Linked DNA regions of Notamacropus eugenii. The protein of the gene in region 1 interacts with the protein of each later gene in a pairwise test. Links are inferred from orthologs where the notes say so. Each region holds a gene or a part of one and is shown in the gene's direction. Other genes may lie near its edges.

The links.
Region 2: the proteins of TRIM69 (region 1) and ASNS interact in binary tests that used the Homo sapiens proteins (3 or more experiments, as listed by UniProt). The two-hybrid records come from large-scale screens. The link is inferred for Notamacropus eugenii from reciprocal best matches to the Homo sapiens genes TRIM69 and ASNS.
Region 3: the proteins of TRIM69 (region 1) and FAM110A interact in binary tests that used the Homo sapiens proteins (3 or more experiments, as listed by UniProt). The two-hybrid records come from large-scale screens. The link is inferred for Notamacropus eugenii from reciprocal best matches to the Homo sapiens genes TRIM69 and FAM110A.
Region 4: the proteins of TRIM69 (region 1) and NEK8 interact in binary tests that used the Homo sapiens proteins (3 or more experiments, as listed by UniProt). The two-hybrid records come from large-scale screens. The link is inferred for Notamacropus eugenii from reciprocal best matches to the Homo sapiens genes TRIM69 and NEK8.

The regions. Positions count from the first base shown.
Region 1 is NC_092878.1:53,186,604-53,193,761, reverse strand, and holds the start of TRIM69 (E3 ubiquitin-protein ligase TRIM69), read left to right. Parts: upstream 1-4,134; 5' UTR 4,135-5,366; coding exon 5,367-5,372; intron 5,373-7,158. Other genes in the region: B2M (beta-2-microglobulin), read left to right, coding at 275-291.
Region 2 is NC_092874.1:1,918,298-1,925,311, reverse strand, and holds the start of ASNS (asparagine synthetase [glutamine-hydrolyzing]), read left to right. Parts: upstream 1-4,006; 5' UTR 4,007-4,246; coding exon 4,247-4,495; intron 4,496-7,014.
Region 3 is NC_092872.1:432,452,767-432,460,339, forward strand, and holds the start of FAM110A (protein FAM110A), read left to right. Parts: upstream 1-4,560; 5' UTR 4,561-4,653; intron 4,654-7,573.
Region 4 is NC_092873.1:36,139,214-36,146,275, forward strand, and holds the start of NEK8 (serine/threonine-protein kinase Nek8), read left to right. Parts: upstream 1-4,050; coding exon 4,051-4,385; exon of another isoform or gene 4,386-4,668; intron 4,669-4,883; coding exon 4,884-4,961; intron 4,962-5,046; exon of another isoform or gene 5,047-5,159; intron 5,160-5,824; coding exon 5,825-6,030; intron 6,031-6,342; coding exon 6,343-6,575; intron 6,576-7,062. UniProt on the Homo sapiens protein: Required for renal tubular integrity. May regulate local cytoskeletal structure in kidney tubule epithelial cells. May regulate ciliary biogenesis through targeting of proteins to the cilia.

The DNA.
Region 1 (7,158 bases):
GTCAGAGAGGTGGTCTGTGTCTCTCTCAGATCTTTGATATTCCCATGTATAATATGAATTTTTGAGTCTGATTTATGGGAATCTTACAGAAAGCCTACCTCTGAATTATTTCCCCCATCCTCCACCCCCACCCCAAGTGGATAGCCATGACTGCATCCTCTCTGAGCTACCTCCAGACTGGAGTAATAGAGTTCCCTCAGTACTGCCCATGATGTTCATCTTTAATTTCTTCAAATTAAAGCATAATGAATTTTTTCTCTCATCTCTTTTACAGATGCAGAAAACAACTAACACGCCTAATGAAGGGTCAGTTGTTGACTTTGGATATCTGGAGGTTTTTGTATTTTTTTCCTCTCATTTCAGTATCTTTTTTTCTGTACAAGTTCACAGACTCCCTTAAAATCTATCCACAGACCACAGATTAAAAATCCATTATGAAGAAGATGGTGGTTGAGTTGAATTTTAAAGGAAGAGAGGACCTCTGTGAAGTGAAAGGAAGGAATGCATGCCAAGCATGTGATTCAGCCAGTACAAAGGCACAGAGATGGAAGATACCATTTGCCAGTTAAACTTACAGTTCACATTAGGATCCTAGGCTAGTTAGAATCGAACGATATCCTGTCATCAAATGCAGTATCCTGATAGTGACTTTATGTGAGGCAGCTAAGTGGCACAGTGGATACTATGCTGGACCTGGAGTCAGAAGACCTGGGCTCAAATCCTGTCTTATTAGCTATGTGACCCTGGGCAAATCACTTCACCTTTATCTGCCTCAGTTTCCTCATCTGTAGGTTGAGATAGTAACTGTACCAGCCTTTCCGGGTTGAGGACTAAATGAGAAAATATTTGTAAAAGATTTTACAGATGCTAATTGCTAATTATCCTCATTATTATTAAATGCTATCTATGGCTCCAAAGAGCTGGATCTTTTGCAGATGGTAACTAATTTGAAGTAGAAGCTGAGACTGAACAACTCTAGAGTTACGACCGGGCAGAACTTGCCTGCTCGACACTGCTAACTTCCTGTTGATTCTAGGATGCAAGAGAAACATCTCTATTCAGTTTTTAGGACTGTTTTAAAACTCTTAAAACCTCAGCCTCACTGTACCTTATTCCCTGTGGCATGCTCTTTGGACTAGCTAAACTGGTCTTCTTTTCTGTCCCTTCCTCCATCTCCCACTTCTTGGTCTTTGTGCCTGGAAAGCACTCTTTCCTTACCTCATTGAGGATAACCCTCTTCAAGATGCAGCTCAATCATTGTCTTCTCTAAAAAGGGAATAGATTTCATAAGCGTCTTCGAACTTGGGTAGGAAATAAAGATACATCTTTATTTCAGTTTCCTTTGAAATCTTATGTGTTTTATTTTATCCATTTAAAAACCTTATTCTGAGAAGGGGCCAGTAGACTTTATTAAACTGCTAAAGGGGTTCATGATGTAAAAAAGGTTACAAACTCTTATTCTCCATGAAGACTTTCTTGATCCCTCATCTGTTAGTATTGTCCCTTCCAACCTGTTAGTATTGTCCCTTCCAACCTACCTTGTATTTAATTACTTATTTTATTTTATTCCCTTTATGTTTGTGTTACATATACATATATGCATACACACACACACACACACACACATTGTCAGTAGAGGTCCTTTCAATCTGAAAAATGTTATATTTTATTGTTTATAAGAAAAATTGTCTGTAAAAAAAATCCTGCTCATTTAACTTTTACACAGGATCAGTCATTTTTCATGACACATTAATATCAATAATTTTCATGGATGGTTGTCTTTCTGTCAGTTTTCTAGCACTTTCTGGTTAATTTTTTTTGTTCATTTCTCTAAAGCAAAAGACTTCGTATGATTCTGAGTGCAGAGAAGTCAGACCAACTCTGATTATACTTGATTGTGTCCTGACTTTTGAGTAGAAATCATTGAACTCCATCCTTTAATGAAGTATTGTAGAAATTAAATCATAATGGGTAAATAAAAAAAAGGAAGTGCTATTATGATGTACATATGTACATATATGTATATGTAGCAGAAATATAGTGAATAGAAATATATATGTTTGCATGTAGATATGCTTATCCAGTTCTATTAGAGTATAAGCTCCTCACAAGTAGACAGTTGTGATTCAGTTGGATCCCTAGTACTTAGCAAAGGGCCCAGCACATAGTAGGTGTTTAATAAGTGCTTATTTGATAGAATAATTGATTTTTTTCTTTTTCCTTAGGCTTCAAGAAGTCTGGCCTGAAATGGAAACATGCTAAAATGTATTTTCATGAAATTTGGAATTTGGTTTTAATTTAGCTAAATTTAATTTGAGTAGGTGTGTAATTGCAAAGTCTTCTTTCCTTTGACTTTTCACTTTGTTTACCTTCCATGCAAGTATTAATGAATATGTAGGTATTTAGACACTATGGAATGCACAGCTTTGAGAGATGAGGAATAGTTCCCTTTGTAAGTCCTGAATTATTGTTACTTCTTCGTGCAGATTAATTAGCTACGTTACATTCTATAAACATCTAAAACTGGCTGATAAACTCACTGATGCTCAGAATCTCAAACTCTTGACTGCTTCTATGTTTGGAATTTTATACGATAATTTGAATATAATGTTATCAGTATCACTAGGCGCTTTTTAACCAATAATAGAGCACAGCCTTCGCTCCTAGTGTAACTGCTAGATCCCAGTCAATCAATAACCTAACAAGCATTTAGTAAGGATCTGAGGTCTGAAATGACCAGAATATTCAGTATGTGAACATCCTTCTGGGAGTCCTGAACCTTTCCTCTATCAAAAAGTCAGTAAGAAATAGCATATTGGCAGTAATTTTTGTATTATTAAATCTAAATTTAAAAAGGAAAGCCCCAAAATATGCTTACCTAAATTTTGCTGTTGATGGGCATGTTCTATTGAATAAAACAACTGAACTGGGTGTGTAAGTTTCTCACTTAAATCAAAATGATGGGCAGCTTTACAATGGGATTATAATACAGTACTGTAGTTTGGGGCAACTAGGTGGGTGCAGAGGGTAGAACACCTGGAGTTAGGAAGACTCATCTTCCTGAATTCAAATCTGGCCTCAGACACTTATTAGCTATGTGACCCTGGGCAAGTCATTGAATCTTGTTTGCCACAGTTGCCTCATCTGTAAAATCAGTTGGAGAAGGAAATGGCAAACCAACCACTCCAGTATCTTTGCTAAGAAAACCCCAAATGGGGTCACAGAGAGTCGGTTAGGACTGAAAAAAAATGATTGAACAACTGTAGTTTGAGAGGTCTTAGTGGTCCAATCCTACATGCAAACCATAGACTCAAGGGCAAGGTAAGCCACTGATGTCCTTAACTGCTCCTCACAGGAGAATGGACTTAAAATGCTTTCTCCTGAGCAGCAGATGCAGACCTCAGTTTCCTGTTCTCTTTCACATCAGTGAGTCTCTCAGTGCATTTATGCACTGGTCAGAAGTTGGGTATTTCCTAGAATGTAAATTTGATGACAATTCTTTTCCCTGCCCAAAATAGAAAAGCCAAATCCAAGCGGTGAGAGAACACACAGGAACAGGAAGATGTCTTTAGGAAATGGTTAGAAGCTTTTGGCTTTAGCCCAAGAGATTTTTTTTTTTTTTTAGTATCAAATCATTCGATCAGTATCTTGACATTGTATAGTGGCTTCAGGTTTAAATAGTGCTTTATAAAAGACTTTATCTCATTTGATTCTCACCACAAGCCCCTGTGGGGATAGAAGTTGTAGGTATGGTCAATTAGAGCTGTAGTGACGGTGCTCTGGGGCTATACTTGAACCTGAACAAATCACTTTAACTGTAACTGTAACTTTAACCTGTAACTGCCTCAGGCACTCTAAGATTATGTTTTAAAACAATTGCTGATTCGAATTGCCTCGGAGCAGTTTCCTCAACTGGGAGTTCCCTGTACTGATGATATCACAGATTTCTTTTTTAAATAATATTTTATTTTTTTTCAATTTTTACATGTAAAGATAGTTTTTCAACCTTCATTTTTTACAAGATTGAGTTCCAATTTTTTCTCTCTCCCTCTTCCCTGAGATGGTAAGCAATCTGACATAGCTTATACATGTGTAATCATGTTAAACAATGAAGTCACATATTTCAAGAAAAAAAGATTTTTATGTGGCCTTTATTCACACTTTCAAAGCTTACAAAGAATGGTTAGATGCCAACAAAAGCATCAAGTAAGAAGCCAACAGAAACATATGTAAGAAATACACTTCCTCAAACAACAAACCAACCCCAAACCACACTGTTTAAAGATTATTACATCAGGAAATATTCTTGGATGAAAAACAAAATCTACCTTCATTTGTAAAATCGAGATTCAAGACCAGCAGTGTAGTATAGTAGATTAAGAGCATTGGCCTGGGAATCGGAAGACTTGGTTAAGACCTGCCTGACACAGGTGTGGGACTGAATAACTCACTTCCCCTCTCAGACTTGAGGCAATGCTAGAAGACTTTTAAAAGTTTTAAAATAACTGCTGATCTACATCGGTGGAGAGGGTTTCAATGCAGGGAATACCCTACACTAATGAAATCACAAGTATAGACTTCCCTTTTCTCCAGTGCCAAAAAGAGTAACGTGAAGACACTAACACTGAACAAAACTAACAGGAGTTTAAGTTTTGATAAATATTTAGCAGACACACTTGGTTTGTTTACTTAGGTAAACTAAAATTGAGTTTCCTTGGTAGGCAGTATAATCCAACATCAAATCCCTCATAACCACAGCCTTCCATTCTCTAACTGGCTGAATAAAGTCACAATGTTAGGTGAATTGGGACTTCTCTATCCTAATTTCCTTGAGCCCTGAGATACACTGTTTCTCCCTCTGGTGTCTTCTCTGGACTAAAGAACCTGTGAAGGAGAAAAATGGGGTGCTATGTTGAAATACAGCAACTTTGTTAACTATTTAGCTGGTCTCTCTAATGCCTTTCATATTATGATTTTGAGGAAAATGGGGATCAGCCAGTTCTCTCAACTAATTTCTTCTTCCATAGAACAGGAGAGATTCAGGGGCATGGGATCTGTTAACAATAATATCATGTCCCACCTTAGGTAAAAATGAGCAGTGTGGAGAAAAACAAACTTCAACCAGTACCTCCTTCTCTGGGAGCAAGCTATGGTCACATCAACTGACTAACTGTCACGGAACTTGCAAGATCCCCACCCCCTCCCATCCTTATTCTTCTTTGGCCCTATAGCTACTGAGTCTTTCCAATTGTCATTCTCTAGTGAACCACCAAGTCTCCAGCCTGTTGTTTTGCTGCCCTATCTGAGTCAAAGATATAAATGCCCATGCTTCTTCAAGTAGAGGGCAACTCAATGAAAAAACCTTCATGGAGGTGAGGGCCCCTTTGGGATGGGTGATTACATTTTCCTAATTCAGTTATCTTTCCAAATATTGTGGGTAGACATCTTGGTATATGAAGTTATAAGGAATTTGGGAAGATTTAATTTATAACATTTTGAACTACTTACTGAACTGGACATTTAGGAAGATTTGAAGAAGTACATGAAAATTCAGCTTTGATATTTCACCCTACTATAAAGGTGACCCTGACTTTTCAAAGGTTACATTAGTGGGATGTAAACCTGGGTCTTGGCAAGCTGGAAAGGCTTTGAGGAAGTAGTGTGTCAAACCTCCAAGAACCAACCTATCTTAAGAGTTAAGAGATCATCACTATGAGGTTGGCCACCAGGGGATGAATTTATCAGGCAAGAAATTCAACAGTGAAGGGGTGCAATCTGTGTAGGCAGAGGTAATAAGTACTCACATGACACTCATAGGGATCTTTCAATTCAGTGTCAAAGTGAGGAAAGCAGAAAAACCAGCTTTAACTAAATATAGCAGTTATTTATTAAATATTTCCCAGAATGTGGCCCCACATAAGTACTATTGTATAATTCAGAGGAAATGACAATCGTTGTGGCTAAGGAATATGCAATCTTTTGAAAATAATTAATTTGAAAATAATTCCAAATCACACAAGTCCCCATACTGTGGTAGAAACTGAAGATAAATACTGTAGGGATTCAAAATACAGTCACTTCAAGGTGGGGTTAATTTGAGATTTCTTGAAAGAAGTGATCCTCAAGTTAGGCCTTAAAGTATGAGATTTGAATTGGCAAAAAGGAGGTGGAAAAGAATGTTAAGGTAAAGGAGAAACATAAGAAAGGTAAAAGTGGTATAGGAGTGAATGTCAGGCAAGGAGAATATCATAGAAGGAGAAACAGAGGTAAGAATAGTAGTCTTGGTCACACTATACATGCAGAGATGGTGCTTCTTCCCTGGAGACATTAATTCAATTCAACAAGCATTATTTTGTGTTTATTATGTGAAAGAAATAGGGGTTATAAAGTGAAAAACAGTCCCTATCTTTAAGCTTACATTCCTTTCCACAGAAAGACTGGTATTCATAGATGGGAAATAGTTGACATTGGCTTCTAACTCACCTTAGGCCAGAATTGATTAGATGGTTAACTTAGTTCCTTCCTAGAGATGTAAAATTTCTCAACACTTTTAAGCTATAATGAGAAAAAATCCCACAACAAATCTTTTTTTGGGGGGGGAGGGGAATGGGATATGTACTTTTGTGTCACATGTCACTAACTATCTCAAGAGTTTAGTCTATCTAAAGAAAGACCAAGTAGATGAAAAATTTCTATTGCCCAGATTATGAAATTAGTTGAATGGACAACCTATAGCACTAGTCTGTCAGTATGTCTGTCTGGGACAGACAGTACAAATGGACCAGAATTAAACGGAAGGAGACCTGGTTGGATTGTCTTCAGGAGATTACAAAGCTACTTTAATAACTCCAAGATTCTTCCTGAAAAAAAGTTCCATTGTTTTAATATCAACATCCTATTCTTTTGTATAGCTTTGAGGCTAACTGGGTGGCATAGTAGATAGAGGACTGGGCTTGGAGTCAGGAGGACCTGAGTTCAAATGTGGTCTAAGACACTCAGTAGCTATGTGACCCCGGACAAGTCACTTAACCTCAGTTTCCTCATCTGTAAAATGAGCTGGAGAAGGAAATGGCAAACCATATTATTTTTGCTGAGAAAACCCCAAATGGGATCACAGAGTTGGAAATGATGAAAAAACAACTGAACAACAACAAAATA
Region 2 (7,014 bases), on another chromosome or scaffold:
TAGCTTAAGGGAGGGGGACGAGATCATTTCTAAGGTCCCTTTCAGGTCTCAACTACCTCTCTGTTACCTCTTGGAACCTCAGTCTCCTCCTCTGTAAAATGGGAGTGATCATACTGCCAGAGCCTCCTCAAGGGCTGGTTGTGAGGTTCCAGTGACCTCACTCAGCTTTGTTCTATGGAAATGCCAGGGATTCTTATCTTGGTGCTCCTGGAAGGTTCAGTCAGCTCTTCAAAGTTACAACTCAGGGTTGCCTCTCCACTGCCCCCGCTCTGCTTCGAAAGTTGGGGAGATAAGGGCCCAGGGGCCTGCCATCGCTTTTCTCTTGTAGCAATTTGCTTTTGCTTTTAGAGAAGGAGTTTTGCAGAAATGGCTCCAAGTGGATGAGCTTTCAAAGGCTAGAGTAGCAGGTGCCAGAGGTATGGGAATCCAGCCCAGGCTAGGATCTCTCCAAGGTTCAGTGTGGGTGAGGTAGCAGCCCAGGCCTGAGGAGAGCCCTGCTCCACCCAGCACAGGAGGAGCTGAGATGGGGACTTGTCTATGTGCTATTTGCACTCAGAAGTGAACTTGGCAAGGTAAACACTTTGGAGAAACTGCCCACTCTTGCCAGAGCTTAAAATGGCTCAGGGAACAGTGTATGCCCAGGTCTGGGGAGAAGTGTTTGTCCTTCTGTTATCTCTTCTAGCAAGAATCCCTCTGAGAAAACTGGTTGATGTTACTTGTTTAAATGAAATTGGGCTTGTGACGTATGCTTGTGATGGAATACCACTGTGCTATGAGAAATGATGAGCAGGACGCTCTTCGAAAAACCTGGATTTCCACGAACTGATGCAGAGTGAAGTGAGCAGAACGAGGGGAACACTGTACACAGTAACAGCAACATTGTAACAATGATCAGCTAGGAGAGACTTAGCTCCTCTCAGCTATGCAAGGTCTAAGACAATTCTGAAGGGACAGAGGATGCAAAATGCTCTCCACCTCCAGAGAGAGAACTGATGGAGTCTGAAAGCAGATTGAAGCAGACTCTTTTCTTGTTCGTTTGTTGATCTGTGTTTTCTTTCACGACATGACTATTACAGAAATATTTTTGCCTGATTGCACGTGTCCATACTATATCAGATTGCTTGCCTTCTCAATGAGGGGAGAGGGGAGAGAGGAAGAGAATTTAGGACTCCAAATTTTTTTTTGAAAATGGTATTGTTTTTACAAGTTATTGTGAAAATAAAATAATTTTTTAAATGAAATTGGGCACCAATCTTTGGCAACTGATATTGAGGAGAACATACCTAAAAGGGTCTCAAGTCCATAACAACAGAATCACCCTAACTCCTCAGCAATAGTCCTAAAACCCTGAGGGGAGATGAAGGCATCAGAGCTCCATTGACTTGACCTGCTTGTGTACATGTATGCTAAGAAATTAAGTCCAGAGCCTGGCTATATGCAAATTCTGTGATTCACTCCCAAAGCAGAGGAAAGATCAAGTCATGTGAATCTGGACCTGGGCACAACTGGCTTGTCAATGGTGTCATGAGAAAAGAGGCTTGGGTGTCAGGACCCAGCTCCCCTAAGGATCCTGCCTGCTTCTAAGGAAGAAGCACAGGGAAAGTGTTGGCCAGAAGGAAGAAGCATCTGCTAAATCCTCACTATGCATGGTACTGTGCTAAGCACTTTCCAAATAGTATTTCATTGGATCCTCTCAATAGCCCTGGAAGGTATGTGATGTTATTGTCATCCCATTTTACATTTGAGGAAACCGAAGAAGACAGTGACCTACCTAGGGCTACATGGCTAATAAATGTCTGAGGGCAGATTTGAACTCGTCTTCCTGACTCCAGGTCCAGTGCCCTACCTACTACCCCACCCAGCTGCCTAGAGACCCAGAGAGATGCTGCCCAAAGGAAAGTCCTATCCAGGAGGAAGGGGCAATTGTTCCTGTTTGCTTGGGGCTGCTCCACGTGATGAGGACATCCAGAATGGCAGCACTGGGGCACTGCCTTGGTACCCTCCTCCCAAAGTGGCCTTGGGGCATTAATGCCTGTTCTGTGGGCTCTGAGGGCCCCTCCCCTTTGCTGCCCCTTGAGCCCCCACCTCTTCCACAGTCACAATCACAGTCATTCGAAGATGATTTGTCTGAGGCCAGCTCCTGGGGGAGGGAACATTTCCTCAGCCCATAACCGGTTAGTCTGGCCCAACCTGAGCTGTCAGAAGCCACACTAGCTTATTCTTTTCTCGAGCCAGCCTTTACCAGGCTGCCAAAGCCATTTTCCAACAAACAGGGGAAACTGCTTTCTAGGGTCAAAATGAGGGGACTCTGGGGAGAAGAGACCCCTGGTTTAGACTTTGTAATGGGGGTGGACGGGCAGCCCAGGGAGAAGGGACTGCTCCAGCTTAGACTTTGTGACAGAGGCCAGGAAGCCCAGGCCTGGGCTGACATTCAAGTGAGAAGTGAAAACAGGTTCCAAAGCATTTGGAGACAGGAGACCAGGCCCAGGGGATTGTAAAGGTGGAAGAGAAACACGTAAAGGGATGGGCCCGAATGAACAGGGAGCTTGGGGTCTGCACGCTAAGAGAGGGTGGAAACACTTCCATGAGTCTCCTTTGGCTGGGCCTAGTGATGTACCCCGCTTGGAAGGAAGTCTCTAGCAGAGGGCCACGGGGCTCTCTCCTCAACACAAACCTTGTCAGTACTTGAATGAAGGCACCCTGATCCACCTGACGGTGGAAGGCTGAGGACCTTCTCCTCGAGGCAGAAATAGAGTGCTCCTGGGCTTAGAGGCCGAGGGGCCTGGCTTCGAATCTCAGCCTGGACGTTTGGCGGGTGTCATTTAAAAGGGGCCTGTTTGCTCAGCTCTAGCATGGAGATAGATCATGGTGCTGTCAAGAGAGGGGTGTGGTCAGCTGTAACTATGCATCAGGAACTGGAAACACTCAGCAATCGCTGTGGCCTCCTCCTCCAGGGAGCTGAGTGACTTCCATCCGGTGCAAAACCATCTATTAAACACCTACTATGAGTCAGGGGCATCGCTAGGATGGAAGATGGGTACCGGGACAGAAGAAGCAGCAGTCCTTGCCCTCCAGGATATGCCCAGCAACAGGCAGCTGTCCCTGGGGGAGGGTCCAGAAGCTACAGAGGTGGAGTTCCAGAATCTGGGACTGGAGGGGTCAGGCAGCTGCCAGAACCAATCTACATGCAAAGAAGGTTCTCCCTCACTGAAGGTGGGGGAGGGTCTTCCTCAAGACCCCCAGGGAGGAGGGGGAGGGGGGGGTGGGTGTGTCCAGCCTCTGCCTCTAGACCCTCAGGGAGGAGGGGGAGGGGGAGGGGGGGAGGGGGAGGGGGTGGGGGTGTCCAGCCTCTGCCTCAAGACCCCCAGGGAGGGCGAGGCGGAGGAGCAGGACTCGGAGGTGTATGCAGCTGCTTCCACCTCTGCCACCGCTGGGCAGCTCCCGTTTCAGCAGCTGGACAGCTCTCAGCGATCTCCCGGTAACAAGCCCAGATCTGGGGCTGCTGGTGGCCTCTTCCCCGTTTTCTTCCCCGCCCCCAGCCTTCTTCTCTTCAGGCATCAGACCCTCCCAGGATGATCCTCGGTCCTCCAGGTCAGGTGGGGTCCACTGGGGGCCTCTCCTTAAACATCTACTGCAACCCAAAGTGACTCTAGGGCTCTGGGTCCTCCTCGCTCCGCCCAGGTCCGTGAACACCTCTGTGCTTGTGGTCCACTAGGACCCCCAGAGCTCTTCTCGAAGGGATAGCCCCGCCCCTTCTATTATTAAGGTGATTATTCCACCCAAGGGTTACGAGCTGGGTCAGCCCTCCTCGGCCAAGCCGAGGCCAACGTGGCACACTGCCCGGAGCTCAGTACTGAGCCCTGTGGCATTCCACTGGAGACCTACCAGAGACACTTTGCCTCGGACCCTAGGCTCATGGCGGAAGTGGCCTCTCGACGGCCTACCCTCACTTCCGGCCACGCCGGAGCGCCTCCTGGGAGGGCGCTGACGTCATCTCCCCTTGCCGGAAGCCCGCTCTCTCGCAGTCTCCTCCACGTGGGCCCCGGCGTTGCATCAGACGCATCTGGGCAGCAGTGGGGAGGGGAGAACAGGGTGGAGAAGGGGGTGGGGGCCTGAGAGCGAAGGAGGGGCGGCCCCGCCCCGCCCCGCCCCTCCCCTCCGTCCGCTCCTCGCCGTCCCGGCTGCGGCTCACATCCCTGGCGCGGTCTGGAGGAGCCCCGTCCGCGGGGTAAACTGAGGCCCCGCCATGTGCGGCATCTGGGCGCTGTTCGGCAGCGACGAGGGCCTGCCAGCGCAGTGCCTGAGCGCCATGAGGATCGCCCACCGGGGCCCCGACGCCTTCCGCTTCGAGAACGTGCGCGGCTTCACCAACTGCTGCTTCGGCTTCCACCGGCTGGCCGTGGTGGACCCGGTGTCCGGCATGCAGCCCCTGCGCCTGCAGAAGTTCCCCTCCCTGTGGCTGTGCTACAACGGCGAGATCTACAACCACCGGCAGGTGAGGAGCCGGGCGCAGCTCGGGCGCGGGGTGCGGGGCTGGGGCGCATTCCATCCAGCTTGGAGGGGGCTCGGGGCCCCCGAGGACGGCTTCATTTCTGCCTTTGGCACCTCCGGGCTCCCAACCAGGAGTCACTCTGGGCACCCAAGTATACAATATGGTGCCAAGACCTGTGCGTTTCACCTCCTTTGCCTCCTTCTGTGGGCGCTTTCACCTCCCAGACGTCCCCGGTGGATTTCACCTCCTTGCAGTCTAGTCGATTTCACCTCCCAGACGTCCCTGGTCGATTTCACCTCCCAGACGTCTCTCTGGTCGATTTCACCTCCCAGACGTCTCTCTGGTCGATTTCACCTCCCAGACGTCTCTCTGGTCGATTTCACCACCCAGACGTCCCTGGTCGATTTCACCTCCCAGAAGTCCCCGGTGGATTTCACTACCCAGACGTCCCTGGTCGATTTCACCTCCCAGACGTCTCTCTGGTCGATTTCACCTCCCAGACGTCTCTGGTCGATTTCACCTCCTTGCTGGGTCTGGTCGATTTAACTACTGCTACTTCTGTGGTCAATTTCACCTCCCTTACTCTCTCCAGGATTTCAAAAATGCCGCTTTTTCTTTGCTCTAACCCTGTCCATCCCTCCGCCATCCCCGCTGCCTGGACTATTGCTTTAGCTGCTGCTGCTTGCGGGGGGCGGGGGCGGCGGGGGACGGTGTCTTCCTGTTTCAAGCCTTTCCCAATTCAGACACTAATTTTCCTAAAACATGAGCCTGACTATGTCACCCCTCTGTTCCACAAACCCCAGTGGTTTCTTTCCTCTACCTCCGGGAAAAAATACCATATGCTTCCCTGGCACTCAGTCCTTCGTCATCTGTCTCTCCCTTCTCTTTCTAACCTTCTCACACCTCACTCCCTGACACGTCCTCTTGGATCCAGTGGCCCAGGCCACCTGGCCGTTTCATGAACAAGATCCTCCATCTCTGGGCTCTCGACATTCTCCCTGGCTGTCCTCCATGCCTTCACTCTCCTTCTTTCCGAGGACTCCTGACCTCCCTGGTTTCCTTTAAGTCCCAACTAAAATCCCAACCCCCCTTAATTCCAGTGCCTTCCTTCCCTTCTCTTATTTCCCGTTTATCCTGTCTGTGGCTTGCTTTGTACCTGGTTGTTTGCATGATCTTTCTCCAGCAGGTTGTGAACTTCTTGATGGGAAGGACTGTTTTCTGCCTCTTTGTGTCTCTGAAAGCCTCTCTCTTCCTAGGCACTTAGTAAATGTTTATTGAGTGGAGTTGAGTTTGGCTAGCTGCCCACTGTGCGGGGTGACTGAACTGACCCCCCAGGGCATTTGCTTTGATGTTTTTTGGGGTCCCTCAGCCCCGGAGGCTAACTGGTTTTCGTCTTCGTCTCCTACACTTTAGTCTTGGAGGCATACGCCCCGCCCTGCCCCTTTCTAGGCCCAATCACAGGTCTTCACTTAGCCCTTCTCTGGGGTGAATGGGCAGCCCCAGGGCTGTTTCCCTGCCTCTTTGTTCTCCGCTGCTGGACCGCTAGGTACAACCTGTCTCAGCCCCTTCTTGCCCTCCCCTACCTCCCCCCTTCCTTCTCACTCTCCTCCTCCCTCCCCTCCTGTTCCCCTGCTTCCTTCTCCCTCCCATCTCCTTCCCACCCCTCACCTCCCATCTCCCCTTTCCTTCCTTCTTCCTCTCATCCCATCTGCCTTTTCTCTCCCCTCCCCTCCCCTCTTGTTCCCTCCTCCTTCCTTCTCACTCCCTTCTCCCCCTCCTTCCTTCTACCTTCCCTCTTTCTCCCTCACTTTTCTCTCCCTCACTTCCCCTCTCTTCTCCCCCTCCTTTCTCTCCCTCACCTTCCCTCCTCCTTCCCTTTCCCTCTCCTCTCCTCCTCTCTCCTTCCTTCCTTTTCCCTCTCCCCTCCCCTTTCTCTCCTCCCCCTCTCCTTCCTCTCCAGCCCCTTCCCTCCCTCTCCCTTTCTTTCTCCTTCCCTTCTCCTCTCCCCTCCCTCCTTCCCTTTCCGTCTCTTCCCTCCCTCCCCCTCCTTCCTTCTCCCTGCTTGTCCACTCCCTTCTCTTTTTTCCTTCCCTAGTATGCTCTGTTTAGAAATGACTGAGCCGGATTTGTTGGTGCCCTCCCTAGACTTAGGACACATAACTGTTCCCAGGCTGGGAAGGGAGGTGACGCCGGAGGGCACCAAGGCTGGTCCCACCTTGCTCAGCTGCCTGGTGTGGATTGTGCCTGGGCTGTAGGGGAGGCATTGGAGGGCTGGTGCCAGGACCCTCAGGAAGAGAGGAGGGAACAAGCTTTTCCTTTCTTTTCCCCCCCACAGTTACTAATTTGTTTTCAGTTTTCAACTTCCATAAATTCCACATTTTCTCCCCCTCCCTCCCCCCTTCCCAAGACAGCATGCAATTTGATATGGGCTCTACACATACATTCCTATTAAACACATTTTCACATTAGTCATGTTGCATAGAAGAATTAAAACGAATGGGAGAAACCATGAGAAAAACGCA
Region 3 (7,573 bases), on another chromosome or scaffold:
ATGTCAATAGTGTAGAATGTTGATTATTTTTCCATTTCTGCTAGATAAACAGCATAATTACCCTTCTCTCTCCTCTCTTTCTTATTTGTATCTGGTTAATTATAGTATGCTCCTTATTCCACTAGTCTGTTTGAGAACTTGAGCACTTTGAGGGTAGAAATTGGGTCTAATCCAATCTTTTGAGATACCCAGTGATTGATTAATGAATGGTGTCACCAACCTACTCTGGAGTTGTATTCTATAAAGTAAGAATGCACAGTGTTTTAGAACTCTGAAAATACTCAGTGTTCAAGAACCCCAGGGTTCTTTCTGTCCCTTCCACATTCTGCAGCCCAGGGGGTGTCACTTGCCCTTGAGCCTTTCTGAATCTGCAAGGTAAGACTGGCCCTTTTTGTCCAGTTCCTGGGCATGTTGTTAGGAGGAATGCTTTGAAGTCATAAGACTAGGGATAGAAGTAACACTACATTCTTTTCTACAACCTTTCATCTCCTGGCACTTAATTGTCACAAGCATTAATTAAGGGTGTATGCCACTCCTGGTAGGAAAGAGGATGTTATCCTATTCTGCTGACAGGGAAACTGAGGCATAGTGATGGTAAATGGTTTATCAAAGCACTGTCAGACTTGCTGGTAAAGGATTCTATGTCAGTGGAGCCATGGTGTATTCTCTCACTTATTACCAGAATCTTTCTGTGGTTCTGGGAAGAAGATCTTTGGGGTAGGGGATGGAGATGGGGTAGAGGAAGTACTCTACAAACCCAGAGCACTTACCATATTCAGTGCCCTGTACTGACTACTTCAGTGAGAGATAGATGTTTGAGGCCTAGTTTCCGGACTTTCCAGGGCTTACAGTCTATTGGGGAAAAAGACATATACATGACTATAGTACAAAACAGAACTTGATAAGTATATGAGATTAAAAACATCTGAGATATTCTAGAGAAGAGGCATAATACAAATCCAATGGAAGGAGCATTTGTTACTAGGAATATAAAATCAAAATTGATATTACTGGAGAGATATAACATGCACACATATACACATAATACGAGGTGGGCAGTGATGGGAACAAAGGTGAGATTAAGACAGCTGCTCTAGGAAGGTTTTGAGGAGGGCAAAATTTTTTAGCTCAGCCTAAAATGCTACATAAAGAAGGCTACCTGGGTGGAGCCTTGAATAAAGATAAAGATTCTAAAATACGAGATTAGGAGGAAGAACGTTCTAAGCATTTGGAGGTAGGAGGAGGGTAGGAGTTGGGGTAGGCTGGGGTGCGGATGATCACTGAGAATTCACAGAGGGAGAAGACGTGATAAGTTTGGGAATCCAGCTCTCATGGCTCAGTTTATTTGAATTGGAGAGTGAACTAAAGGGTGAAATGAGGCTGAAAAGGTAATTGGGAGGTAGAAGTTGCCAGGGTTGTGGAGGAAACTGAAGTTTAAGAGTTTATTAAGTTCATAGAGTTTAAGAGTTCATTAACCAAGCCTTGGCCAACCTGCTGGGGATCAATCAACCTTTTCACATTTTACTAGGCTGGTTCTTGGACAGAAAAAATAGTCTATTCCTGGAACATCATAATAACAAAAGCTATTTATTTAGGACTTTTAAGGTTTTGCCAAGCCATTGACTTACATTGTCTCATTAAGTATTACTATTACCCCCATTTTACAGAGGAGGAATTGAGTCTCAAAGAAAGGTAATGACTTGACTTTCTCACATTTGTCCCATATAAGTGACACAGCTAGTCAGTAACAAAGATAGGATTTGAACCCCCACTCCTGGTCCTGTGCTTTTTCTGTTGTTTGACCCTATGCAGATTGATAAAACCAGGGCTCTTCTGTGCTTTCTTTTTTGAATTGTTTTATTTATTTATTTTTAGTTAACTAGCATTTTTTTTTCTCCCTCTGATGGCCCCCTCTTACCTGGGGGAAAAAAAGAAAGAAAAACAAAACCTGTGTAAGATATATATAGTGAAGCAAAGCAAATCCCTCCATTGGCCATTTCCAAAGATGTGTTTCTCATTCTACATCTTGAGGGAGGTAGCAAGGAGCAAGGGTAGCAAGTTTTATCATTGGCTCCCTGGAATCACATCTAATTATTTAATCAATCATAATGCCTTTCAAAAAAATTTTTTTTTTTTTTACAATATTGTTGCTGCATACATTTTCTCCTGGTTGTGCTCACTTCATTTTTGTATCAGTTCACATAATAATGACAGTAGCAGCTAACACTTATATGGTGCTTTGTGCCAGGCACAGTGCTAACTCCTTACAAATATTATCTGATTTATTCTCACAACAACCCTGAGAGGTATGTGTGATTAATAACCTTCTTTTACAGTTGAGGAAACTGAGGCAAGAGAAGTTAAATGACTTGCCCAGGGTCACATAGCTAGTAAGCACCTGATGTCAAATTTGAAGTCAAATTTGAAGACTTCCTAACTGTAGATACTCCTAGCATTCTATCCACTATATCACCTAGATATCTCCATAATTCTTCCCAGGTTTCTCTGAAATAGTCCCTTTCATTATTTCTTACAGCACAAGAGTATTCCATCATATTCATATACCACAATTTGTTTATCTATTGCCCAATTAATGGTGACCCCCTAAGCTTCTAGTTCTTTGACACCATAAAAAGGGCTGCTATATATATTTTTGGACATACAGGACTTTCCCCTCCTTTTTTGATCTACAGGCATGTTTTTTGAGAATCAAGGGCCACATGAGATAGAAGCAAATACAAAATGCTCTGTTTAGCATTCAAAGCCTTTCATAACTTAGCCCCATACCTACTTTTCCAGTACTTAGACCTTACTATTTGACACATATTTTTTGATCCAGCGACACTACCTCTGAGATGTTCCATGAACCAGATATTCCACCTCTCAGCTCTGGGCATTTGCTCTGGCTGTGTCCTTCATGCTTGGACCATTCTCCTTCCTCCACTCCAACTACTCACCTCTCTAGCTTCCTTCATGTCCCATGTCCCAATCTCACCTTCTACTGGAAGCCTTCTCCAGCCCTTCTTAATTCCAGTGTTTTCTCTCTGTTAATTATTTCTTAATTATCTTGGATACAGGTTTTTTTCCATATATTTCTATCTTGTCTCCCCCATTAATAATGACTCTAAGCTCCTTGAGGACAGGCACTGTCTTTTTGCATCCCCAGCACTTAGCACTGTGCCTGTCACATAGCAGGGGCATGTTTATTGAACTGAAATGGTGACGGTAGTAGTAGTGGTGGTGATATTTAGACAGCTAAGCAGTTTGGTGTATAGAATTCTGAGCCTGGAGTCAGAAAGTCCTTAACTCAAATCCCATCACAGACACATAGTACAAGCTGAGTTCAAATCCAACTTCAGACATAAGCTGCGTTTCCTCAGCTGGAAAATAGGCATAATAATAGTACCTACCTCCCAGGGTTGGATCAAATAAAATAAAAATGTTTAAAAATTTTTTATTTTCCTCAATAATATTTTATTTTTTCCAATTACATGTAAAGGTAGTTTTCAACATTTACTTTTAAATTCCAATTTTTTTTTCTCCCTTCCTCCCTACCCTCCACACCCACTACATGACTGAAAAAAATGTGACAGAGGCTATACATGAACAATCCTATTAAACATTTCCACACGAGTCATGTTGGGAAAGAAGAATCAGAACAAAAGGGAAAAACCATGAGGAAAGAAAAAAACCAGAAAATAGCATGCTTGGATCTGCATTCAGACTCCCTGGTTCTTTCTCTAAACGTGACAGCATTTTCCATCACGAGTCTTTTGGAGCTGTCTCAGATCCTTGCGTACCAGAGCTGACCAGGGCACTCACTGTAGAGCGCTTGGCATAGCGCCTGGCACAACAGAACACGCGCTGTGTAAATGGTAACCCTACACGTGGGGCCGGAGGCTGAAGGATCATCTTCCCTCACACATTACCTAGTTGTGTGACCCCAGGGCAAGTCCCCTAACCCTGGCTGCCTCAGTTTCCTCTTCTGTAAAATGAGCCGGAGAAGGAAATGCCAAACCCCCCAACGGGGTCACGAGGCGTCAGACGCGACTGAACAACATACACGAGGGTGGTGATGCTAACAATGGCTCCTTCCGTGGGTCTGAGGAGAAGGAAGGGGACGCCAAGCGCGGAGGGCTCCGAGCCCAAGGGCGGGGGACACACCGACCTGGGGTAGGCGAGGCACAGAGCGAGGGCACCCAGCTTCATTCATAAAGCCGACTCTCCAAAAGTCACCTAGCAACCAAGGCAGCGCGGAGTTCGAAGGGAACCCAGGAACCAATCGGGGCATCCGGGGTGAACCATTTCGCTCACTGTAGGGGGGAACTTATATCCCAAATAACCCTTTCTCTTGTCTTTCGGCTTGACAGACTTGGGAGATCCAGCAGAAGAAAAAGTCCGACAAATTGGAGTTTAGCCATAGGAGAGAAAAACGACATTGAGTAGGCCCCGCCGTCCCGGAAGGAGGGGGGAGACGATCCACATTTCCCCCTCGACTGCGGCCTGGAGGCATTGGGAGCGGCCGGTCTCCATTGGGATCCCGGGGCGGGGCGGGGAGGAGGGGCGGGGCAGTTCCGGTGTGCTTGCTGGGGAGCCGCGGGAGCGCCGAGGACCTCCTGAGGGCGTCGCTGCGGGCCCCTCGGCGGGTGGCACGTGAGTGTGGGGGCTTGGTCCGAGTGAACTCGAGGGAGCCCCGCTTGGCATCGCGGGGTGCGGCCTGGCTGGCCTCCCAGCTCCGCTGCTTCTCGCCTGGTCGATGACAATGGGCAGGTTCCCTTCCTCTCCCTTCATCCCTAAAAGTGGGGGGTGGGGCCGAAGCATCTCTTACCTCCTCACATCATAGGGTCGCGTTCATGAGATGTGGAGGGATCCTACCTTGTGTGGCCGCAGAGCCCCCCATTCTCGCCCCCCCATTGACCCGGGGGCTTGCCTGCGCTCCCACAAGCACGAGGGACCTTGACTGGCTGCATGTTCTCTTACCCCGCCTCCCATTTGTAAGGGGTTCTTGGAGGTCATCTGCGTGTGCCGAGAGAGGAGCCTTGTGCTTGCAGCGCCCGCCCTCCCTCCTTCCTTCCTCTCCTCCTTCCTCCCTCCCTCCCTTCCTTCCTTCCTTCCTTCCTTCCTTCCTTCCTTCCTTCCTTCCTTCCTTCCTTCCTTCCTCTCCTCCTTCATTCCTTCTTCTTTCCTTTATTCTCTTCCTTCCTTTCTTTGCTTCCTTCCCTTTTCCTTCCTCCCTCCCTCCCTCCCTTCCTTCCTTCCTTCCTCTCCTCCTTCATTCCTTCTTCTTTCCTTTATTCTCTTCCTTCCTTTCTTTCCTTCCTTCCCTTTTCCTTCCTCCCTCCCTCCCTCCCTCCCTCCCTTCCTTCCTTCCTCCCTCCCTCTCTCCCTTCCTCCCTTCCTTCCTTCCTTCCTTCCTTCCTTCCTTCCTTCCTTCCCTCCTTCCTTCCTTCCTTCCCTTCTCTCTTTTTCTCTTTCTCTCTTTTTCCTAACATTTACAGCTGCCCAGCAAGGGAATAGATTGGGCAGCCTTCAAGTCAATGCACAATTATGAAATATCTCTTATGTGCGGGTACTTAGGTGATACAGTGGATAGAGGGCTGTCCCTGGACTCAGGAAAACTTGAGTTCATATGTGGCCTCATACACTTCTGAGTTATAATAACTTTGGCAAGTTCTTTTGCACCCCAAAATCAAAACACCAAACTGCATTTTGCCTCAGTTTCCTCATCTGTAAAATGGAAATAATAATAGTACCTATCTTCCAGGTTTATTGTGAAGATCAAATGAGATGATAAGTGTAAATAGTTTACCACAGTGTCTGGCATGTACTAAGTGCTACATAAATGTTAGCTATCATCATTTTATTTGTAATTACATGCGAGGCACTATTATGGCTATGTATTTTTAAAATATATATATATATATTTTTAGTTTTCAACATTCACTTCATGGCTATGTCTTAAGGAACTAAGGATACAGAGATAAAAATGAATCAGTCTCTGCACTTAAGGAATTTTAAGTTCTGCTGGGAGGATATAGCATGTAACCAGATCTGTAAAATACAAAGTCTACAAAGTAATTTCAAGAGATAGTGCTAATAGATGAGAGGATCAGGAAAAGACTTATGTGTGAAGCAGCATCTAAAGCTGTGCTTTGAAGGGAAGTACAGCTTCTGCCAGGTAAAGGAGAGGAGGGTGTTCATTACTTCTCTGTTGGAGTGAAGCATGTTCAAAAAGCCACTGAATGGGAAAGGGAATATATGGGGATAACTAGCAGGTCAGTTTGGCTGGAACAGAGCATGTGACAGAGTGGTATGACATGAAACTTGGAAGGAAGATGGGGACCACGATGTAAATGGCTTTACATACCTGGCCAAGCATTTCTTATTTTATCCCGAAGGCAGTGAGGAATAATTAAAGATTTTTGAGGATGGAGCTAATATGGATAGACCTTTTCTTAATAATATCAATTTGGCAGTTTTGTGGGATATGAATTATAGAAGAAAGAGGCTGGAGTTAGCAGGAGGAAATTCTAGCCTTTCAGGGGAGAGTTCATTTGGGTTAGAACTAGGGTAGAGGCAATGTGAGTAGAGAGAAGAGAACATCTATGAGATGGATGGAGATAGGATTTCAGCACGACTTGGCAACTGATTAGATAAATGAGTTGGGGGAGGTTAGAGGGGCCAAGAATGACTACAAAGTTATGCACTTGAGTGATTGGAAGGATAGATAGTACTAGTCAAGTCAAATGAGCATTTATTAAAACATCTGCAATGTGCCAGAAAGGTAGGAAACAGTCTCTGCTCTCAGAGAGCTCACAGTCCGTCAGGGGAGACAACATGTCAATAACCATATACACAATTTATAAACAGGATAAACTGGGGAGAATCTTAGAGGGCAGACATTAAGATTAAGGAGGCCTAAAAAAGGCTTTTTGCAGAAAGTGGGTTTTTTTCTTGTATTTGAAGTAAACCAGGAAGGGGAGATGAAGAGGGAGAAAATTCCAGGCATGGCAGACAGCTAGTGAGAATGATTGTAGTTGGGGTGATGGAATGTCTTATGTTAGAAATAGCAAAGAGACCAGTGTCACTGGCTTACAAATGTGTGGAGGGCAGAGGAAGGTGTAAGTAGACTGGAAAAGTAGATAGGGACCAGGTTATGCAGGGCTTTAAAAACCAAGGAGATGATTTTATCTTTGCAAGTAAGATGAAAGTTGTGTTTTGGACATGCTAAATTTTAGATGTCTAGAATATCCAGGTGGTGATATCCAGCAGGAAGTTGATAATACAGAACTTCAGTACAAGGCAGAGATGAAGGCTGAATGTATGGATTGGGACAAAAATGCTTAGAGATAATTGAACTCAGAGTAGTTAATGAGATTAACAAAGAAGAGACTAGGTTCCTAGTGGACATGTATGTTTAGCAGGCAAAAGGAAAAGGAGCTCTAACAAACGTGACTGAGAAGCAGTAATACAAATGAGAGCAGAATTGGGTAGAGCACTGTCATAGAAGCCAAGGAAGAAGAGACTACCCAGAAGGAGGGTGTGGTTGTTTCAGATTCTTTGTGACCCTATA
Region 4 (7,062 bases), on another chromosome or scaffold:
AAATCAAAGTAATTTGAAACAAAATACATCAATAGTAGCAATAAAATATAATAGAACTGGGTTCCAGAGGGCACCCTAGAAGGACATGGAGACAAGAGAGGAACAGGAGAGGTATGAGAGAGCTGGAGACTGGGCCAGGGAAGGAAGTTTTGGGCAAGGCGGCCTAAAACTCAGATCCCACGGTTTCCAAGTGGGGCCACAGCGCTGTAAGTTGGCACAATCTTTGACACATAATATGGATTTGATTATCAAGTGGTAGAAAGAGGACAGAGATTCAGAGAATGGCATTGTGCAGATCCCTGAATCCTACCCCTATGGCCAAGTTAGAGAGGTGAGTATGACATGTCTGAAATACTGGTGCCCAGACACTGCCTTATATTCCTGAGGCAAATTTAATTAGAGGAAATCATTCAACTGTTCTAGCTGGGTCCACTACACGACCTTAAATGAGTCCTCACTGCTTCTAGGGAATCTTTCTACACCTCCTTTATCAACTCACTTTCCCTCCGACTACATGACTTTTCCCATCTTTTTCATCCTCCCTCAAACCTCCCATGGCTTCCCCTCCCTCTCCCTGCCCAGTTGAGAACCTTGACCCACACATTATAGACACAATGTTGGGCGTGCACCATGAGGCCCCTCTTCTCTCTTCCTCATATCACTCAGATGCCTTCTGCCGTTATCTTTTCTTTCACCTCTGTCTCAATCAATCAATAAACATTTATTAAGCATCTTCTATGTGTCAGACACAATACTAAAGGCTGGAGATTTAAAAAAAAAACGCAAAAGACAGTTCCTGGCCTCAAGGAGATTACAATTTAATGGGGCAGACAACATGCAAACACATGTAGACAAAACAAGCTACAAAATAATAAATTAGTAACAGAGGGCTTCCAATAAAAGAAGGATTTTAGTGGGGAACTAGAGGAAGCCAGAGAGTTCAGTAGTTGGAACGGAGAAGGGAGAGCATTCCAGGCCTAGGGGACAGCCAGTGAAAATTCCTGGAGCTGAGAGATGGAGGAACAGCCAGGACATCAGTATGGAGGAATGCTGCTGGGGATTGAAGAATGAGAAAACTAGAAAGGAAGTGGGGAGCTTTGAATGTCAGAGTATTCTGCTTTGCTCCTGGAAGTGACAGGGAGCCTTGGAGTTTCTTGAGTAGGGAGTGGGGTGACATAATCCAACCTGAGCTTTAGGAAAATCACTTTGGAGGCTTTATGGAAGATGGATTGAAATGGGAAGAGACTCGAGGCAGGCAGACCCACCAGCAGGATATTACAGCAGTCCAGGTGTTTGGGGAGGAGGGCCAGTACCTGAGTAGGGGCAGTGACAGAGGAAAGAAGGGGGCAAATTCGAGAGATGTTACAAAAGTGAAATCTGCAGGTCTTGGCAACAGTTTGGATGTGAGGGGTAAGCAAGAGGGAGGAGCCCAGGATGACTCCTAGGTTGTCTCACTAACCCATCTCACCTGTGTAATCAGGATCCTGTTCCATCTGGTCTCCTCCTACAGATTATGCCTTGGTCATCCCCACTCAAACACTTATTTTCATTCTCTCCCCATCTCCTAGTTCTTTCCCTACTGCCTACAATCATGGCCATGTCTCCTCCATTCTTCGAAAACACTCACCTGATCCTTCTAACTCCTTAGCAATAAACGGCCATCTACAATAGGTATCTCTGCTTTCTTTCCTCTCACTCTCTTCATAACCCTTTACCATCCAGCTTTGGACCTTTTCATTCCACTGAAACTGCTCTTTCCAGAGTTGCCATTTTACCAAAGACACCAGTGATCTCTCAACTACCAAATCCCGTGGCCTTCTCCTAGTCCTCATTCTCCTTGACATCTCTGCGACCTTTGACACCAATGATCACCCTGTCCTCCTTGCTACCTTCTGTCTCTAGGTCTTCCAAACACCCTTCTCTCTTGACTCTCAGTCTCCTTCACCGGATCCTCATCCAGGTCAAACTCTCTAAATTTAGTATCCCACAGTGCTCTGTCTTCTCTTCTGCCTTTATAAGACTTCACTTGGTTATCTCCTCAGCTCCCATATATTCAGTTAGCATCTCAGTGCTAATCTGTGTCCCAACTTCTCTGCTGAACTCCAACTGCCATTCAGACATCTCAGACTGGATGTCCAGTAGACATTTTAAACTCAGTGTTTATCTTTTCCCCAAATCCTTCCCTCTCTACCTTCCCCATTACTGTAAAAGGCAACAAAATTAGGCCAAAAACAGGTGCTCCATCAGCTACCACCACATACCATCCATACGTGGAAAAATGCTACAACAAATGGAGAAGTTTTGAATGCTGTGGATGAGTTCCCTTACCTTGGTAGTGTACTTTCCAGGGATGTACATATTGACTATGAGGTTGACACACACATTGCCAGAGCTAGCTCAGTGTTTGGGAGGCTCTGAAGAAAAGTTTGGGAGAGAAGAAGTATTAGACTGACTACCAAACTGAAGGTCTACAGAGTTATTGTGCTGACCTCATTGTTGTATGCCTGTGAAACACGGACAATCTACCAGCGCCATGCCAGGAAACTGAATCTCTTCCATTTGAACTGTCTTAGGAAGATTCTGAGGATCACCTGGCAGGATAAGGTACCAGACACTGAAGTACTTGCTCCAGCTGATTCTGCCAAGTATTCAAACTATGCTTCAGAGAGCACAACTCCAATGGGCTGACCATGTTGTTCAAATGCAAGATGTATGCTTGCCAAAAAGACTATTTTATGGAGAACTCACCTGGGGCAGGTGATCTCATTTTGGTCAGAAGAAGCGATACAAGGACATTCTCAAGAACTTTGGATTTGACTGTGCAACATGGGAGGCCCAGGACCACTCAGGATGGGGTGCCCACATCAGAAAGGGTACTGTGCCCTAGGAGCAAAGCAGAATTGAGACAGCACAAAGTAAACGTAGGATACGCAAATTTGGAGTATCTACCCCAAATATTCATATGGACTATCTATGTCCAACCTGTGGGAGAGCATTGTGAGCTCATGTTAGTCTGATCAGTCACAGTCCAACACATTGAAACTTTACTTTATCATGGTGCTGTCATTTTGGTCCTCTTCAAGAACAAAGGACAACAACCAACCAGAGGGCAACACCATCCTCTTAGTCCCTTGGGCTCTCAACTTAGCAGTCATCCTGGACTCTTCATTCTCTCCCCTCCATATCCAAGATGGTGCCAAGGTCTGTTGATTCCACCTTTGTACCATCTCCCAAACACTCCTCGATTTCTCTTCTGTCACTGCTGCCACTGTAGTGCAGACCCTGATCATTGTACATCTGTTGGTGGGTCTGCAGGTCTCAAGTCTCTCCCCACTCCAACCATTCCTCATTCACTAAAGTGATTTTTCTAAAGCACTGGTCAGACTATGTCCCCCCCACCCCAAGAAACTTTCCCATCTACCAGTTGCCTCCAGGATCAAATACAGAATGCTGCGTTTGGAATTCAACGTTATCCCCTCTCCAGTTCAGTCTTCTTTACACCTCCTCCCCTCCTCCACCTACTCTTCTCTACAATGACCCTATGGGCATTTTTTCTGGCTGTACTTCATGGCTGGAATGTTCTCCCTCCTCATCTCCACCTCTCTGGCTTCCTTTAAGACTCTAGAGGGAGTAATCAGGAAACCACAGTCCAGTTTCTACAACTGTGCCTGGGATAGAATAATAATTGACATGCATGTATATATAAAGGGAAGCTAGGTGGGGCAGTGGATAGAGCACCAGGCCTGGAGTCAGGAAGACTCAGCTTCCTGAGTTTAAATCCGGCCTCAGACACTAAGTGACCTTGGGCAAGTCATTTCACCCTGTTTGCCTCAGTTTTCTCATCTGTAAAATGACCTAGAGAAGAAAATTGCAAACCACTCCAGTATCTTTGCCAAGAAAACTCCAAATGACGTCATGAAGTCAGGCAAGATTGAAAACAACTTAACAAACAGTATATTTGTGTGTGTTTTAAAGTTTGCTGCTTATTAATCTCCCATTGAACTAAAAGGTACTGGTCCTTAGAATTCACATTTATGAGAAAAAGAGGTAATGCGTGGTAACACGGCCGCTAAGGGCTGGAGGTTTCACTACACCAGGATGGGGAGAAGGTGGAGAAGGGAGTGGGGGTTTCTGAGCTGGGAGAGCGTTGGAAGGGAGGGATCCTGGGTGGGGGAAATGAAAGAACAGACACTTGGCAAGCATTTCTTAATGGCTTCCTATGTGCCAGGTTCTGTGCTAAGGACTGAGGATAAAACAAAGGAAGAGTCGTTGACCTCAAGCAGCTTATATTCTAAGGGAGGAGAGGATGCGCAAACACCGGCATCAACAAGGGGAGAACAGCGTCCAAGGAGGACTGACTGGGAAAGGCTTTTCAAAGGCAGAAGGTGGGACTCTGGCTGACACTGGAAAGGAGGGGGAGATGCGGGAGGACCCCAAGACCCGGGGGAGGGGAGGACCCCCAGACGGGGAGAGCAGGGCCGGCGAATGCGCAGCTCCACTCCAGGGCTGGAAAGGGGGCAAGGGGGCCAGGTGTGATCCCGGACTGCACGGGGAGCCTCCGCAGGCGATGCCAGGCATGCGTGGCAGGGAGCCTGCCAGGCTGCGCGGAGAGCCTCTGCTCCAACACTTGTCAGCTCACTCCAGCTCTCTGGGTCTCAGTTTCTCGACCTAAAAGGGGAGGATCAGTTCAGCCAATATCACCTCCAAGTGCCTGGGGGGGAGGGGCGGGTGTAGAGGAGAAGGGAGGGAGTGAAGGCGATTCGGGATGGGGGCGGCCCCCGGCCAGGAGCAGCGCCCTTCCCCAGCCGGGAGCGGGGCGCACGCGGACCGGCGGAGGAGTCGGCGCATGCGTGGTTAAGAGTCTTTTTTCCCCCCCGCGGCAGCCGTAGCGGCTCCCGGAAGCGCTGCCATGCCATGGAGAAGTACGAGCGGATCCGGGTGGTGGGGAGAGGCGCCTTCGGGTGAGGCAGGGCACGGGCCGTGGGCGGGTGAGGGGGAGAGAGCGAGGGCGGTAGGACACAATCGAGGAGGAAAGAACAAACACACCCAGCTCGGATCCACCGGGCCTGGCAGCGCCAGCCTGGCCCCCATGGGCTCCTCTCCAACTCTCGGAAGTCCCGCCCCCACTTCCGCCCCCTGGTTCCCACCCACAACCGGGCGGGCCCTGGAGCCCCGCCCCCGACAAATAGACCTCTTTGGTCCACGCCCTCATTCTGGCCACGCCTTTCTCACAGCCCCATTCCCAGCTCCAGCTACCCTTCCCCTTTGGCACCTGGGCTATGGCACCTGGAGTGGACTCAAGGGCTTGGGTTCCACCCCCACCTCTGGCACTAACTTGCTATGTGATCACTAGTCGTCACTAAGTCTCTGGGGCCCTTAAATGGATTGGGTGGTCTAGATGACCCTGCTCTCAGTTTTGATGTCACCCTAACTTTTTTTGGGGGGGGAAGCCTCAGTTTCCTTATCTGTAAAATGGGATGAGTGGTTCTAGATGAGGACAAGAGTACGAGTGGGTGCGACCTCGAGGCCTCGTGTGGCTTTCTAGGTCCTTAAGTGCAGCCCTTTGGAACCAGACTTCATAGAACAAGTCTTCTTCATTAAAGGATTTGTTCTGCAAAACTTGGACTCAGTCAAAAGGCCACATTTGAGGACCTAGAGGGCCACATGGGGCCTCGAAGCAGCTGGTTCCCCCCACCCCTGCTGTAGATGCTCCTTCGTCTCCTGCTCTCCTGGCACCCTGCCTCTAAGTCTTCCTTTTAATCAGTCAGTCAGCCTTCATTAAGCATCTACTGTATGCCAAGCCCTGTACCCCTGGGCTTTTCAGGATTGTGCACCTGTGCCTTCGGAAGGCCGACCAGAAACTGGTGATCATCAAGCAGATCCCGGTGGAGCAGATGACCAAGGACGAGCGGCTGGCTGCCCAGAATGAGTGCCAGGTGCTCAAGCTGCTGAACCACCCCAACGTGATCGAGTACTACGAGAACTTCTTGGAGGATAAGGCTCTCATGATCGCCATGGAGTATGCCCCAGGTTGGGGCCCTGCCCACGTTGGGCTCTTTTGGGGGTGCCCTGCCCGGGCTTGGAAAGAGCCCCAGATGGGAGGCCGAGCTCTGCTTCTGTCCTTGCTTTGGTGGTGTTGGGAAAATCCTTTCCCTTTGAGGCCTCGGTTTCCTCCTTTGTCAGGGGAAGGGTCAGTCACTAAGGTCCCTAAGGTCCCTCCTCCTAGCAGGGACATTCTGTGACTTCTCCCTGGCCCAGGGAGAAGGTGAGGCTGTGTGCCATTCAGGGGCTCTAGGATGCAGGCGCACCAGGGGATGGCCTCATGCCCTTCTCTGCCCACAGGGGGCACGTTGGCCGAGTACATCCAGAAGCGTTGTAACTCCCTCCTGGACGAGGAGACCATCCTACACTTCTTTGTTCAGATCCTGCTGGCCCTGCACCATGTGCACACCCACCTTATCCTCCACCGAGACCTCAAGACCCAGAACATTCTCCTGGACAAACATCGGATGATTGTTAAGATTGGTGACTTTGGCATCTCCAAGATTCTGAGCAGCAAGAGCAAGGCCTACACTGTAAGTGGGCCTGGGGGCAGCAGGCCGGGGCTCCAGGACAGGGCTCAGGGCCTACCCTTCCCCTGGGTTCTTAGTCTTGGCTCTGTTCTGTAACTGAATGTATAGCTTTCGTTTCCTCTTCTCTAAAATGAGGAGACTGGTGGGACTTGGTGGTCTCTGGGGTCTGCCAGCTCTCAGGTCCCATCTTCAGCCCCTGTGGACATCCATACTGTGACCAGACAGAGGGAAGATGGAGAAATGGGAGGAGGGGGCTTTTTCCAAGCCACTGGGTCTATCTCTTCCTCGTTAGAGACTTCCAGGTCTATGATGTTCATAGGAGAGTGGGATTATAGCTTGAAAGCCAAAGGGGACCTTTGAGATCTTCTAATTCAATATCCCATCTTACTGAGACTGAGAGAGGGAAGTTACTTGGCCCAGGCTGCAGGATGAGGGGCCGAGCTGGGGTCACACTGGTCCCAAGCTCTTTCAGCTGAATCCTTGTTAAGCC